Linked DNA regions of Mus musculus. The protein of the gene in region 1 interacts with the protein of each later gene in a pairwise test. Links are inferred from orthologs where the notes say so. Each region holds a gene or a part of one and is shown on either strand. Other genes may lie near its edges.

The links. The genes of interacting proteins can lie anywhere in the genome.
Region 2: the proteins of Fhl1 (region 1) and Akap12 interact in binary tests that used the Homo sapiens proteins (3 or more experiments, as listed by UniProt). The link is inferred for Mus musculus from reciprocal best matches to the Homo sapiens genes FHL1 and AKAP12.
Region 3: the proteins of Fhl1 (region 1) and Mybpc1 interact in a two-hybrid assay, tested with the Homo sapiens proteins (2 studies listed by BioGRID and IntAct). The link is inferred for Mus musculus from reciprocal best matches to the Homo sapiens genes FHL1 and MYBPC1.

Annotation. Positions count from the first base shown.
Region 1 is NC_000086.7:56,729,824-56,735,164, reverse strand, and holds the start of Fhl1 (four and a half LIM domains protein 1), read right to left. Parts: upstream 3,405-5,341; 5' UTR 3,297-3,404; exon of another isoform or gene 2,997-3,296; intron 1-2,996.
Region 2 is NC_000076.6:4,264,333-4,269,624, forward strand, and holds the start of Akap12 (A-kinase anchor protein 12), read left to right. Parts: upstream 1-1,996; 5' UTR 1,997-2,186; coding exon 2,187-2,336; intron 2,337-5,292. UniProt on the Homo sapiens protein: Anchoring protein that mediates the subcellular compartmentation of protein kinase A (PKA) and protein kinase C (PKC).
Region 3 is NC_000076.6:88,601,857-88,607,109, reverse strand, and holds the start of Mybpc1 (myosin-binding protein C, slow-type), read left to right. Parts: upstream 1-1,957; 5' UTR 1,958-2,184; coding exon 2,185-2,209; intron 2,210-5,253. UniProt on the Homo sapiens protein: Thick filament-associated protein located in the crossbridge region of vertebrate striated muscle a bands. Slow skeletal protein that binds to both myosin and actin.

The DNA of each region.
Region 1 (5,341 bases):
GATTAACTGTCTACACTTTTCTTTTCTTAATCAAATCAGAAACAACAGGAGCCATTTCTTACATACTCAGGATCTGGGTACAAGAGCCCCACCACCACCACCACAGTGACTCTGTAAATGTTTGTTGGAGAAAGGAATGGTCATATATTTTGCTTAATTACGCACTGTCCTGGCAGAGGGGTGGAAGCAGAGAGGGGGGCAGAGGCAGAGAGACAAGGGGGGGCAGGGAGAAACCTTTTTTTTTCCTGCTCTGTTCAACAGGAGCTAAAAGAAAAAAAAATCTCTTAAGAAAAAATAATTACAATATTCTCCCTTTTATCCCAAATCCAAACAACTGGATAGTTCAGTTAACAAAAAAAAAAAAAAAAAAAAAAAAAGGGCAGACAAAAGTTAAGGAAAGCAGCCAACGAGATAACGACTAAAGTTCAAGCAAGCAGGAACATTTGTTCAACTCCCACAAGGTTATAAAAGCCAATGTTTCTGGCACTAGGGGGTGGGAGTCAAAGGAGGGGTGAGGGAAGAGGAGAACCAGGAGGAAGAGATTAGGAAAACAGGGCAAAGCCTCAGGAGATTAGCTGCCGTGCCTTCAACAAATTATTTGTTTTTAATGGCTAAACTTGGGCTAGGGACATAGCCCTATGATAAAGGCGCCTGCTCCACACAGGAGGCCCTGGGTTCCATCTCCAAGACTACAGCAAATGAATAAATAATTCTTCAAACCGAAGGTGCGAGGGTGGTGAGTTTCTCACGCAAAAGTTCAATTGACAAGTTACTTTTAAAAAAAAGATAACAGAGTGAACTCTCTAAGATTTAAAACAATTACTTCATTGTCCTGTTCGTTTCTGAAAGTTCTTCATCTTTTTTTCCTCCCATCTTACAACAGGTTCTCAAAAAGCCAAGTAAAAGACTCCCTTTGCTCCTTTTGTTTAGAGAGCAACTTAAGGCCCATTTTCCCACCAACATACTGTTCCTTTTCACCACCTTCAGCATTATTCCTCAGACAAAAAACACCAGGCTAAACTTAGATTGTGAAAATCGGTTCTGTCTCACTGTTGCACTGGGGCAGAATACACACCACAGAAATGTAGAATAGTATACAACAGCATAAGCAAATACATTTTTCTTAATCCTGTAGACCCACTTATGTATTAACATTTGCAATAAACAAAGTCAGTATCTTATTGAGGTGATCCATTAATTTACTATATATTAAATCATCTCCAAAGAACTCATATAAGAGGTATTTTACCAATCTGCACATTCAAAATTTCATCCCCCAATCTAGACTTGCTTTAAAAATGTTTTCCTTCTCCAAAAAGATTAAATCATGGAATGGAAGCCTAGAATTTCAGAAGCCATATATGGTTACAGATTCTATACGGTAGTAGTAAAATGTGCACTTACTCTGTAGTGCATTGTACAAACCTTGGCCTATCTAACAAATTCCCTGTTGCATAAAGATTCTATTTGCCCTTAAAAATGGTAAATAAATGTTTTAAAAGAGTGAAGGTAGACTAGATTGGAACCTTATGTAACGGAAACAGGGAAGCATTATATTCCTAGCACATTTAAGGCCCATTGCTTTTTAATGCATATTCTTAAGAAAATATGGGCACGCATTTCCAAAGACAAAATTACCAACCCCAATCCTTTTCAAATGTGAGGAATGGGGAGTAGCCTGTTCCTGGGGATGGGCAAGGATGAGAACTCCTTATCCAATTCCACGTGGCCCATAATTTAAACTTGTGCTACTCTGTAAACATTCTCATTTCCAAGGAACATTATATTTATATTTAAACGGCCTTAATCAAGATAACAAAAATATTCCCAGTATTCTCTAAACTCGCAATACATTTGATAACATGGAGAATTACAAGCAATTACAAAATGATAGCTCCAATTAGGAAAACTGGATCTAGTCCAAATTCAAATCAAAAGAGGCTCAGATAGTCCCGATGGCATCATTTAAATGAAGAGAACAGAGGACTTCCAGCAAAGACATGTGTTCCACTCTTGCTGCATTTCTACGACAGAACTCTTGCCCTTCAGGAAATCCCAAAACCAAATCTGAAATCACATTCATACACTTTCTTGTCTCCTGTTCCCAATGTGCTACCCTAGTTGTGTGTGTGTGTGTGTTTGTGTGTGTGTGTGTATGGCGGGGGGGGGGGGGGAGGTGTCGTTGTAATCAGAATGAACCCAAGAAACTTGAAAGGCCCAAATGCAGAAAATACACAGCACATTCACTGTTTCCCTTGGCCTTTCTCATTCAAACCTCTACCAGTTGTGGAAGACTAAGCAATGGGAACTTGAGAAGCAGAAACCTCTTCCCAGGAGCCCAGAACTGCATCTAGTGGGAATTTTAAGCTTTCTGAAATTGAAAGGTCACACCCAGCAGTCTACCTAACCCACTTTGCCAAGGCTCAACCAAGGCTCAACCTAAGTGCTAGAACCTTCCACTTGCCTCCATGCTGAAGCTGAAATCCAGTCCCCTCTCCCACCCCCATCCCCCATATCACTGCCATTCCCCCTCAGAGAGCAGAACCACGACCAGCCTTCTCCCTCCATCACCATTCTCCTTGCACTCCAGTCCTCCCACTGCCTCCTCCCCAGCATCCCCAAAGGGAGCACAGCAGTTCCCTCAACATCTCCAAGAACCAAGGCAGGTTTCACCTTCCTCCCCTGCCCAACAGGCGCCATCCTTAATGTAAAAACCAATGAAGCCCCCCCCCCATCGTCATCATCATCCCCTGCTCTTCTCAACTGCTGTTAGCTATCCTTTAAAAAGAAAAAGAAAAAAAAAAAACCAAAAACAAAAACCAAAGGTGTTCCCACCTCGCCCAACCCCCACTGCCCGCCATCCTGGGTGAGAAAACCAAAAGCCCCCTCTTTTTACTCCCACCCTCCATCCTTGCAGAGGAAACACCCAAAGCCGCCCCCCTGCATCCCGGCCCCCAGGGGAGCGAAAGCCCTGGGGAGGAGGCTTAGGCACGCACCCTAAGGGACCTTGGAGCCCCAGGTTCCTCAGCCCCCAACGTGGGCGAGGCAGCGGAGGCCGGAGGCCGCAGGTACCCAAGCCCAGCAGGTCCGCGCAGCCCCGGAGTAGCGGCCACGGAGCACGAGCTGCGGCTCCCCGGGGACGCCGGAGGCGTGCGCACACACACACACACACACACGCACACGCACACACACACACACACACACACACACACACGCACACACACGCGCGCGCACACACACACACACACACACACACTCGCGGAGGGAAAGCGGGCTTACTGTCTGGGGATGCTCACCCGCGCAGCTGTCTAGGCGGCACCGGCGGCCGCTGCCAGCTCCGAGACCAAAGCGCAGCGGCGACAGCGGCAGCACAGGACTGAGCCCCCTCGGCCGGGCGGTGGATGTAGGGCGCGGGAGGGGCGCACGGGGAGGGGCGCAAGAGGGTGGGAGGGAGGGAGGAGGGAGCACGCGCGGGGGCGGGGGCGGGGGCGGGAGCGGGGGCGGGCGCAGCCCACTCGGGGCGGGGAGGGGTAGGGCGGAGCGCGCGTCCGCCTGGGCTCTGCCCGTGGTGCGAGGGGCTGCGGTGCGGGCAGATCGCGCTCGCGCGCGGGAGCCCAGTCGGGCAAGCGCGGGAAGGGGGCGCGGCTGCGTGGGCCCCGCCTCGGGAGAGGCCAAGCCGCTGGCTAGGCGCGCACAGTGCGCGCGAGAGGTGGCCGCGAGCCCGCGGTGGCGCGGCTTCCCGGAGCACCCCCTGCAAGCGTCCGAAGGGCACGCGGAGGGCGGGCCAGGGGCGCCCACCGCCCCCCTCCCTCGCGGGCTCAGGCCTTCGCTGGCTGCTGGGGAGTCACGAGTCACTGCAGGCAGCCACGGCCAGAGCCCGGGAGGTGGGAGCAACAAAGAGAGACAGCCAAGGTGGCCTCTAGCCTCTCCAGGGGCCTCGCTGACCTGCACAGCCCAGTACAGCCAGTGATTGCAGATCTCTTGGTTCCCACCACACTGAAAGACCCACCGACGACCTCTCCCCTTAATAACAAGCTGGACAGAACGAAAAGAGCCTTTATTCAGAGGGCTTTCCATCATTCCTAAAGCTCTCACAGCAGAGCTTCACATAGTGACTGACTCCGTCGTTCTTTCCCTAGTTCAGTTCAGTGAGCCCTCAGCATGTGCCCAGTACTGTGCCAAATGCTGTAGATACAGCACAGTTGTGCACACACTCGGCTTTATTGGTGGAAGAAGACAGATTATGAGCAAGTGAGAAAATAAACACAGTGGGATAAACTGCAGGATAAAAGGGTGTATAAATAATGCGAGAAAGAAGGTAGTATTTAATCTAAGCCTTGCATGGTATAAAAGCAGTGGGTGTAAAGAACCAAGGGATAACTTTCCAAACAGAAGGAGCAGAGGCAAGGAAGCCAGGAGAATCCCACCATGTCAGTGGAGGGAAGTAGAAGGACTTGGTTAGAAGAGGGTTGAAGGAATTGCAGGTGAACTAGAGAAACCTGCTTTTTTTTTTTTCCTTTTAAAGAGGACCCGAAAAGGACCAGAAGGAAGGAGTAGGGTCGAGGAAAACTTTGAAAGGTGAGAATAGTCAGTACTTAGAATGTCTAGTGAGTCAGGAGAGAGGTTCATTAAAGGAATCCAAAGTCTTGATTTAAAAACATGAAGGCCAGCTAGGAGAGGGGAGAATCAGCCCTTTATGTGGAAGCAGATGAGGCGGAGCAGCTGTGTATTTAAACCAAGCAAAAGGTCTAAACACTGCTGTTAGCTCGTCCCCCCGTCCCCCCCCCTCCAGCTTCAAAATTCAAGTGATGGCCTCTTTTACCCGACCCAATAGCTACTTGCAAAATTCCTTTCTCTATCTTGCTACCCAGAGCCTACGCCTCTTTTCTCTTTCTGAGCCCTTAGGCTCACTGAGGTCTGGTATTTCTGGATTTGCAAAAAAAGTCTCCCCACACATTTCTTAGGAAAGGAGACTGATCCGCCCCAGGCCATCATGGGAAGGCCTGGAACAATTAGCACCACTTCAAGCAGCTCCCCTGCATACCAGCCCTGGGCTCAACCAGAAAGAAACAGCCAAGAGCACTCAGTGCAAAAGCTCTGGGTGGCTCTGGACAGAGAGCCAGTTACTGGAGATTCTCAGATCAAAGCCTGGGCTCTGGCAGGCCTAACAAGGTCGGCTCCACCACCTGTTTCTGCTCTGCCAATTCAAGTCCCAAGTGATAGTAAAAAGTGGAGAAAGGAAGACAATTTATTCTATGGAGCCACATTGAGAAGAACAAATGAAGGTCTAGTGACTCCCAAATCCATGTAACATGAGGATTAGGATTGAATAGAGAGCCAG
Region 2 (5,292 bases), on another chromosome or scaffold:
TGTTCTCCCCTGCTTTTGCTGTGGGGATAGAACTCAATGCCCTTAATCCTAGGCTCTGCATCAAAGCCACACCCAGGCTGTTTCAGCAGCGTTTTTAAGTTCCTACCATCCTGAGGAAGGACTAGGGTGGACCTTAAAGTCACATGCTCACTGGATCCCTCCCTCATATCCATCTACCGACTATGAATCCTTGGATACACAAAAATTTGCCTTCTTTGGTTAATCCCCTTCCCTTTCTCTATTGGTAATCTGTATGCCATTGGGTTGTTATAAGGATTACATACGATGATATACGCAATGTTTTTTTGTTCTTTGTTTTGTTTTTTGAATAGTACCTGATACAAAATGAGAACTTTCAAGTTTGGGCCAGAGACATGGTTCAAAGCTAGAGTGTTTGTCTCAGAGTGCACAAGGCCTTGGGTTCCATCCCCCACCCCTCAGCACTGTAAGGGGTGGGGGAGGGGAGATGCTAATGTTCTCTAAATATTCAAAAATTAAATTGAAGTAGGGTGTGGTCTCAGTCTCACAAGTCTATACTGTCTTCCCTCCAGAGACTTGGCTACAACACTTATGGCTAGCCTGAACTAGATTGTGAGAAATTCTTTCTCAACAAACAAGACAAATTGAGATAGGTGACACACTTACAAATAACTAAAAGCAACTTGAAAGTCTGTTTCTAAATGAATGAACCCCAAAGAAACTGGCCTTCCGAAATAAGTGGAGAAACCAAATTTTATCCTGAAAAACCGAGTTGTTCCCAATAAACACTTAAATGACCATGAATAAGGACCAAGTGTTATTAGCTAAATTAATGTTTTCATTGATACTCAAGTAACCTGTATCAAATCTAGGGACAAGATATTTATCTGGCATCTAGATTCAATGCTCTTACTGATTTTAAATCACTAATTCCTTCACTCATCCACAGAGCCTCGCTTTGTGGCTCTCAGACTTGGCTGAAACTCACTCACTACCTACCCCATGCAGGCCTCAGGCTCAAGCTAACCCTCCAACTTCAGCCACTGAAGCATCAGGATTTCAGACACGAATCATGGCACCGGGCTCACCTGACATCATTTCATCTTTTCCCCCTAGCATTTTAATGCTTAGTGACGGGTAATCTAACAAAATTTCAATTTAAGACTTATTGGCTGCCATGTTAATACAATGAGTATTTAATCAAGTGGAGGAAGAAAACAGACAGGCCCTTTCTTTGCTAGTACGAGAGAAATCTTCGTGTTTTGATAATGCCGATGGCGACTAAGCAGACCTAAGCCAATGTGGTGTTTAAGCGTCGGGAGAGAGACGAATGGCCTGGATGTGTAACCTTCAGCATCAGACGCTCAAAGGACAGGCACATTTCCAGTAACAGCTTCATTTCCCCGCGCGTTCCCCGGGGAAAGAGGGCGGCGAGTTCTGTTGATGGCATCAGCTGACATCACTGGCTGGGATCATGGGGACGCTGGGCCCACCTCAGCGGTGGCCTGACTGCATCAACCTCTGGGTTTCCCAGCTCCTGCCACGTGAGCCGCCCTAATATGGCCAGGCTCAGGAGCAGCCCAGGAGGGCTTCCTTTCTCCGGCTGAAGGAGAGAAAGCTAGAAACAAATGCTTAAAGTCAAACCCAACCTGAAGAAAAGCAAATGGGGATTTGGGTTCCCGCCTGGTCAAATGTAAATCCTTAGTCTGCAGAAGATCCAACCTTGGGTTATCAATCATTACATTAAAAAAACAAAGCTTTTGCCCCCGCCCCCTTCTTTGCTGCTCCTGAACCTTCTGCAGCCCTGGGACAGACCCCAAACCCCTCGTCCCCCTTTAATGACCCGAGAAGCCCTGGGGGCGGGGTGGGCTGCTGGGGGCCTGGTGTCGGAGCCTCTGGTCCTAGCAGCCTAGGGGGAGATGCTGCAAGGCGTGTCTGGGCTGTGCTCATGTGATGAAGGGAGGGAAAAACAAGGAGGGGGGAGGAGGCTACGAGGTGGCTTTTTTTTTTTTTTTTTCTTTTAAGGAGTTTGCCACGAGCGCGTCCCCTTCATTCTCAGTCCGGGTGTGTTCTCAGCAGGATCGTGGAGAGCGGGTGCTCCTCACCCCTTAGTCCCTGTGGTCCTGGGCGCACATCTCCTCGCCCCTCTGCTTCTCCGCGGTCCCAGGAAGACGGCTAGCCGGCGAGAGTAGGAAAGCCACTGAGCCATGGGTGCAGGCAGTTCCACCGAGCAGCGGAGCCCCGAGCAGCCGGCGGAGAGCGACACGCCGAGCGAGCTGGAGCTCAGTGGCCATGGGCCCGCAGCGGAAGCGTCGGGAGCAGCTGGAGATCCCGCTGACGCGGACCCCGCCACCAAGGTAAGCTGCAGCCACCTGCCCGGGTGGGGCGGGATGGAGATGGGGCGTCCCGGCGGTTTCCGCCTGCCACAACTTCCCGCCGGTACAGCCCATCTGCAAACTCGAGCGCAGCCCTGTGCAGTCTCTGGGGTCTTTTGCACCGGGGCGGGGCTGGCATCTTTGTGGAGGGTCTCTAAGGGCGGCGACCTAGCCAGCCCTTCTGCAACCATCATATCTGCCCTGACCGCCGTTCTCTAGTCTTTCTTCTCTCTTCCGGTGGGCTGGCAGCCTGGGGGATGGCCGGTGGGGCATCCGTAAGAATTGACCACGGCCAGGCTTCTTAAGCCACTTTACACACCCCTAGATCCCAGGTCCCAGAGTGGGGAAGTCGGGACCTGCTTTGAAGCAGGGCAAACCTAGGTTCTAGGTTCCCCGCCCAGTGTTGGCCTTGATACCAGCTTCCACCCGGGCCACCAGGTCTGGTACCCAGAGTCCTGCGGCAGCGCCTGGGACACCGCCTAGCTAATGCAGAGAGCCATGCATGTAGCTCTCTTCCAGACAGAGAGAACCGGAGCAGAAGCACGAATGGAGGGATAGGCAAAGCTCCTGGAGTCCTGTCTCCCTTTCTCACAGTTTACTGCCTGTGGACTCAGTTGGATAAACAAACATTGGAGTTAGAAGTTCTGCACGGATGTAGGAAAAGGCTTAAGTAAGCGTTCCTTGCACTCTTTCTGTCGAGTCCACTGTAAAGCTCTAGATATACTGCATTTTATAGGGATGCTTAGTTTGAGACTGGAATATTTGACCCTGCCCTGCCCATCACAGCCTTTACCTTTGTGTCTTGCTCTCATTATTGTATTTTACTTCTGTTCCTTTTGTTTTGTTATTGTTTAGGGTTGTTAATTAATTAATTTGCTTACTTGTTTTAAGACTGGGTCTCACTCTGTAGCCCAGGGCTGGTTTGGAACTCACTAGCTAGCCCAACTAGTGGCAGTCCTCCTGCCTCAGCCTCTCAAATGATTTCATAGCCACGCCCGGATGGCAACATTGCCTGTTGGCTGTTTTCCAGCACGTGTTTGTGAGCAAGAGTTCGCTCGGGTGGATTTAAGATAGTTTTACAGAAACGTGTTGAACAACCAAACAACTTAAAGGAAAAACCAACCAATTTCAGAATTTGGTGATAGAGAGCAGCGAGGACCTTTAGAAATGGGTCAGGAAGTGGAAACATCTTTGTGTGAGAATAAAACACTGAGTTCCAGGTAAATCTAACAGAGGTGGGACCTGATGGCTTTGAGCTCTTTATGTTGCCTAGTATAATGTAGGCTGGGTGGCCTCTCTTAACAGTTCCTGCCTCCAGTGTTTAACTCATCACCACTTATAAAGTCCAAAGTCCTCACTGCCTCAGATGCGCAGGTCTTCTGAGAGACTTCTGCCATCCAGTCAGTCTCCATCTTTTGGATGCCTCATTTACATTTTAATACTCCGTGTAACACTCTTTGGAAACTTCTTTGAGTACACCTGCCCTTAGTGCTTAGTTTGTGGGTACATTGGGCAGGTGGTGGTCAGGGCAACTGTTCCTTGGCACGCGTGCGTGGGGGTCAGAGGACAGCTCTGTGCGGTTAGTTTTCTCCCTCCGCCTTTATGTGGGTTGTGGGGCTGGAACTCATGCTGCTGGCTTTGCACAGCAGGCACCTGTATCTGCTGACTCATCACCTCACTGCCCCTCACCTTGCTTTGCTGGCGATCACCATCAACATAGCTCCAGTTTGGAAATATAGTCATTTTAAGATATAATTGCTAAAAATCTGCAGTCAGGAGACTTTTTTTTTAACTTTGGTTTTTATATGACGTCAAGGTTTATTATCTGTTTACAGTAAGTTATGAACCTTTCTTTTCTTCCTTCCACGCCATCCCGTAGCCTGCATCCCCCCTCCCCCTCGCCATCAACCGCCATCTTGAAACATCCAAGCAGTCTCTTTTAAAAGATGACTTGGTGACACCATTAATTTGTTGGCCCGCTTCCCAGTTATCAATTTGAAGATGGATCGATCCACATGCACGTGCTTGCTGCACACATACGTGTATGTTACTTCCTTCCACCCACAGGTTACCTAGGGTTGAAGACCTAAGACTTTTCAGTAGGATCTCAGAATTAAGAATGATTCAGCACCTCTAAGTCCTCTCTTACTCTTTCCACCACGCCCGGCCTATCTTAAGTTCCAATGCCTGACCTTAGAGGCTTCCATCACTCTCGTCTCCTTAGCCCCTTGTCCCCTATCCGCAGTTTCTACCTTTGTGGACTTAGGGGCTTTTTAACTACCATGCTCCACAAGGCGAAGGGCTTACCCGATTTCCTGACAAACTGTCCCCTGTGTGAGGCAAGGTGCATGGCGCGAAACATCAGGAACTTGGCAAGAGCTGATGGAAGAAGTGGTGGTCCTGGCCCTTGGGATCTCATTGGTGAATGCCAGCTGTCCCCTTCTCCGGCTTCACTTTTAACCTCATGAGGATTCGTTTTGTGTATCAGATAATGACAGTCTCTCTAGTACTTAGTAGATTGAGCAAATGATTTAGGAGGAAAATCAGATTTGAAGACCTGTTTGCTCTTTAGAAAGAGAGAGGTCTGGCTGGGTGTGGAGACTTGCATTTGCAATCCCAGCATTCAGGAGTCTGAGGACCACTGTGATTTTGAAGCTGATTCAATCTAGGCTACATGAACACACACCCCCTATTGGGGGGTGGGGTCAGATGAAACATTCACAGAGTTACTTATGGATTACATCATGAATATATAATCTTGATGGATCTGTAGACATTTTGAGGAGGTTTGCTATGTAGTATATAGTTTTTCCCCTCTTTTTTTATTTTTTTATTTTTTATTTTTGTGTTTTTCTTGAGACAGGGTTTCTCTGTGTAGCCCTGGCTGTCCTGGAACTCACTTTGTAGACCAGACTGGCCTCGAACTCAGAAATTTGCC
Region 3 (5,253 bases), on another chromosome or scaffold:
GTCTTTGAACTCGGCTAGCCTTTCAACTCCTCCAATATCATTTTCTCTTTGTAGTGAAGTCCCCTGTTACCAACAAGTCCTCCAGGTCATAAAATACTTTCTCCAAGGACTGTAGTATTTCCTGGCATGTGTTTGCTTCAGTAAAACGATCAGTGTATTAAAAGCCCTCAGGGCCCCTGCTGAAGCAAAGATGGCCCCGCAGCTCCTTCGGGGCATGTGTGAAATCCGTGTCACAAACATCCCTCTGCAGCACAGCATTCTGCAGAGCTTCTGTCCATCTCACAGGACACACTCAGCGTGCTGGGAGTGCTGGGGATTCTGGGAAAGGGATTCCTTTTTAGGGCCCTTCCACCATAGCAAACATCTCAATGTCAGCGGTATCGCAGCCTCTAAGGTTAGTTTTAAAACTCCTTCTTTTGCACAAGAGGAAACTGAGGTACAGATTGCCAGCCAGACGTCCTTCCAGCAACTCGGCTGGTTTACACCAGGTCCGTGAATAGAACCTGAGGCCCTGACTTTAGATTCTAGATTCTTTAACTCTTTTAATGTATTAACTGACATCCCCATGGTAGACACAGGTAGGCTCTTTGTCCTTCTTTCAAGCCAGGTCTAACGTGATATTCAGAATATACTGTTCTGTGGTTGACATTAACCCATTGTCATCTAAGAGCAAAGAGTCTGTTTGAAAGGCGAATGGCGTGTTCAGTAGAACAAGAGAAGGCTTTCTTAACAGGGGGGTATTCGTTGAAAGTGCTGTCCAGCCTGCCTCTCTGACTTCCCGCATAGCTAACTCATGATGCTATTGAGAGCTAGAGTTCCCATCCGTATATGAAAACCTAGCTTGGCACGGTGCTTGGTAGAACTAAGTCTGCCCAGCTGTGCTCTCAGTCACAGGGGAAATTAACCGAGACAATGTGGCTGGTTCGGGACATTCTGTTAAAAACACATGTGGTCTCATTAGTTCCTCTAGGTTTCAGGCTAAGTGACCAAGTCTGATACCTTCTGTGACTGTCTTGGATTATATTTTTGGGCCCATTTGCCATCTTAATAATCACTGTTCTGTTTACTCATGGTGTTCTGGGGAAGCCATTTGTCACCGTGAATCAAAACATTGTCTGGTCTATCTGACTTTCTTTACTTATGTTGCACATGTACAGTTTAGTGGTGTGTGTGTGTGTGTGTGTGTGTGTGTGTGTGTGTGTGTGTGTGTGTGTATTTCACAAAGCTATGAAACCATTCCCACACTCCAATTCCAGAACACCTTCATCATTGCCAGGAAAAGCTTTGCATTCATGTGCCTTCAGTTCTAATTCTACTTCCCCTAGCCTGTGACAATCACTTAAGTTATTTGCCAATGTTATATGTTTACCTAGGCAGGATATTTCATGAAAGTATGGTTGGATAACTTGACTGTATAACCTATATTTTATTGCTGGTTTCTCTCAAGTTCTATTCACATTGTGGCATATCTGTTTGTTCCATTCTTGTTTATATGCTTGTAATTTTAAAAAGAATATCTGTCTCTTGAAAATGTTGCAAGAGCAATGTATCCTAAAATAGACAGCTTTGCTATTCTTAGTAGAGAGAATGAAACAAAATATTTAACTGACTAGTTAACATTGGTGTAGAAATACAATAAAAATTTTTAATCTCATTAACTAAGAAATAAGGAAAATGAACAAATAATGTGGGCATAAAAATGATCTTCTTAATATACCTTAAAAAAAGTTTTAATAAAAATTAAGAGAGAAGCCAGGCTCATGTAGTATGATTTTCATCTATTTATTTCATCGCCCAGAAAACTCCGTGCACTGCTGAGTCGGCACACGCTTCTGTGGAACAGGCAGAGAACAGGAAAGAGCACGAGGCACAGCTGAATTTAGAAAGTTAGAGATGCTCGCATCTGCCACACGAGACGGACAGGAGAGTCCTTCCAGCAGGCGGGAGAGCGGAGCGCAGACAACAGATGTGAGAAAGGTCCCAGAGCTGTCAGGTTTCAGCATCCTTGTGCCGAAGTAGGGAGGCGCCAACATGATTGATGGTCGGAGCCTGTATAAAACCGGTCCACCTCTAAGCAGCTGCTTGTCACACTGACCCACACCATCTCTCTGCTGCCCTTGGGGTTTCTGTCAACCGCTGCTAGAAAGGAGAAAACCTTTTGGAGAGTAATCTTTTGTTGTGGTCATGCCAGAACCCACTAAGAAAGAGGGTAAGAACACCTATAAATATTCTTCTTATGGTCTCTAATATTTATTTTAGTATTTATTTTTAAACAGTTGTCTGATTGTTTTTTAAAAAAAGACTATAAAACAGTAGAATTACTGGGGTACAAAGATTTTAAAAAATGGGTGTGAAAAGACCAGAAGACTATATAATTAACTGAGAAATATCTGAAAAAGTTTATAAAGTTATATTGATTCCAATGATTAAATGGAAAATGTATTATTCAATTTCAAAAGGTCCTTAAAATGCTTACATGAAAGATGTTAACTGCTCACGGTAAGAAGGCTGCATTTTCAAGCTGTTTTTTTTTTAACTTTGTTTCTCTAAATTTCCACCTTGTGTTTGCAGTGTGCAGTGCTTGGAACATCGGATGTTTTTTCAAGCACTTTATAAATTTGGTCAAGTTTTCAAATAATAAGAATCTGTGATATTATTTGTAGTTTTTCTTCTTTTTCACAGAAAGGCATTTGAAATATACAAATAAGAATTCTTCTTTGATTGTCCTTTGGGAGCCCAGCTTTGAAATTTCTTGCTGGGAAAGAAATTTTTTCTGAATATGAGTGGTAGGTTGCACCTCTCCTGAGTTTTGCGGCATACAATCTTAAAATATGTAGCCTTTAAGAAAATAACTAAGAATAAAAACGAAAGACAATTAAAGAGTAGTCTTCATTAGAAGAAAAACTTCTCCTTTCTATAAAAAGATCAGTATTTTAAAATTTCTGGTTAGTAATGGAATTAAATTAGTGTTAGAGGTTATGAAAATAATGAAAATGTACATTCTCATTAATACATTAACTTCTAGTGGAAACATCTTTTATAACTATTACCTCATACTCTGGTTTCCCTTGGGATGACATAAATCTTTCACCCCTTACTAAAGACTGCAGAGGAGAGGAATACCTTTGAGTCTTGAGCCAAGTTTTTGATGAGCCAAGTTTTTGACAAGCCAAGTTTTTGATGTTTTGCTTCTTTGGAACTAATACAAAAATGCAAATATTTGAATCAAATCCGTTTCACTTGGGCTTTTTGAATCTTTTTTTTTTTTTTATTTCTCCTCTGTAAATAAAAGCATACTTGCACACACACAGACACACGTACACAGGCTTAGAGGTGAACATAAAAAACAATATTTAGACTTTTCATTTTTAATCTTGAAAAGTGTTTGTTGCCGTTATTGTGAAGAACTTTGCAAGAGATGCCACATGTTAAAGCTGAAGTTGAGCTACTAACCGAGTTCTGAAAAGGCTTTTAAGTATTTTTTCTTTATGTAATTAGGTAGTCAGTGCTGACAGGTTGGGGTGATCAGTTACAGGTTGGCCCTATTTAGTGGCAGGGAGCATTGATGGATGAAGTCTTTCTCCCAAAATAACCACACCAAATGCATGCATTAATATGGGAACTTAATCCCAACTCCGGGGGGAAATGTGTGTGTGTGTGTGTGTGTGTGTGTGTGTGTGTGTGTCCAACCCCTGCGAAAGTGTCTTCTTTGTAATGCAAATGATTTACATGAGTATTAAATGTCCCTTTTATCTGATGGGTCACTTGACCTGCCTCTTCAAGGCTTACTTGGATGAAACGCCTTTTATGGTTCCTAACTGAAAACAGAAGATTATTTTAAAACGGTCTGAACGGCATCTGTTGTTTGAAATCCCAACTGAAAACAACAAGAAAGCTCGAAGATTAATAAGTCAGGTGCTAGGCTGCGGAACCAATAAAGCAAATTCAATTATTCTGCCTGCTGGATGAAAGGGTTGGTTTGTGTTTGCTTTGACGACTTGATCCAAATCTATTCTGCATTTAGAAAGAATGAGATTAGAGAGCTTAGAAAGAAGATATAATTTTTTTGTACTCATATATATTTTATACATTTAAAATATAAATGCCCATGAAGACTAAAGTCTCCACAAGTTTCTTTTGCTGTCAAACTATGTTTTATAGTCTGTGTAGGGGCCCCTCCACCCAGGACAGTAATCTTATACCCATAGATTCTTTGCTTAGTTTAAATTTGGCTGGTGGGAAGTGGCATCCCCCAAAGCATCACTGATATTTTTAAAAGCCATCAAGGAAGTACAGCGATGTCCTTTTAAAATTCCCTTACCAGCAGAAATGATTGTTAAAGGAGCTGCATCTTTAGTTTGTCTTCATAAGAATGTCGCCTTTAAGGACCACTGACTTTTACACCCTGAAGAACGTGATAATTTCTGTGCTGCTCTAGCCTGTAGCAGCCACACACCCTGTAGATGGTTTCACAGTCAACGCTGTTGGCTTTAATTCCACTGAAGCCACCCTGTGAACGACAGCACCAAGAATAAAACATGCCTTGCTTCACAAACTACCTGTAGACACTCCTCCAAAGAACAGCTCCTCTGGCCTTGACGAATCTTCCTTCTCCTCCACAGCTGGGAACAGTAGGCTGGGAGTCTTGATAGGATCTGGCAAAGAGACCGAGTTTTCAGCACCTAAAGGTGCAAAAGACATCTCACTTAGATGCTTCCAACCTGCTGTGGCCTAGTTCATGGAATCTGGTGTCAGTTCTTCGGGTAGTGGGTCATTCTAAGGAAGAGAAAGATGGCTGCAGCTTTGAACCTCAAGGAGAAAATCTAGTGGGAAAGAATTAGTATATTTCCTTTTTTGGAGCCATGAAAATATTTTGGCTATCTTAAGGACTCCTTTGTAAACAGAAAGCATGTTTTCCCCTTGGTGATGCTGGGCACCAAATCCAGGACCCTGTGCATGCTGGGAATGTGCCCTACTATGGAGCACCCTTGCCCAGAACAGGAGTAACTATTTCCCATTTTTTTACTCTGCATTTCACCCATTGCATATGCATCTGCATAACTGTATTATTTATCCCATGGACCTATATCACAGGCTGTATTCATATAGAGCCTGAGGCTGCTGTGCTTTTTCCAATCAGATGGTGAGAGGAGGCATTGAAAGGAAGCTTCCGTTGGTAGGCATCTCCCAGAGGGCCTTGCCAATGGATTCACTTTTGTCTTAACTATTATGTAAGCCTGACTCTACTCCATT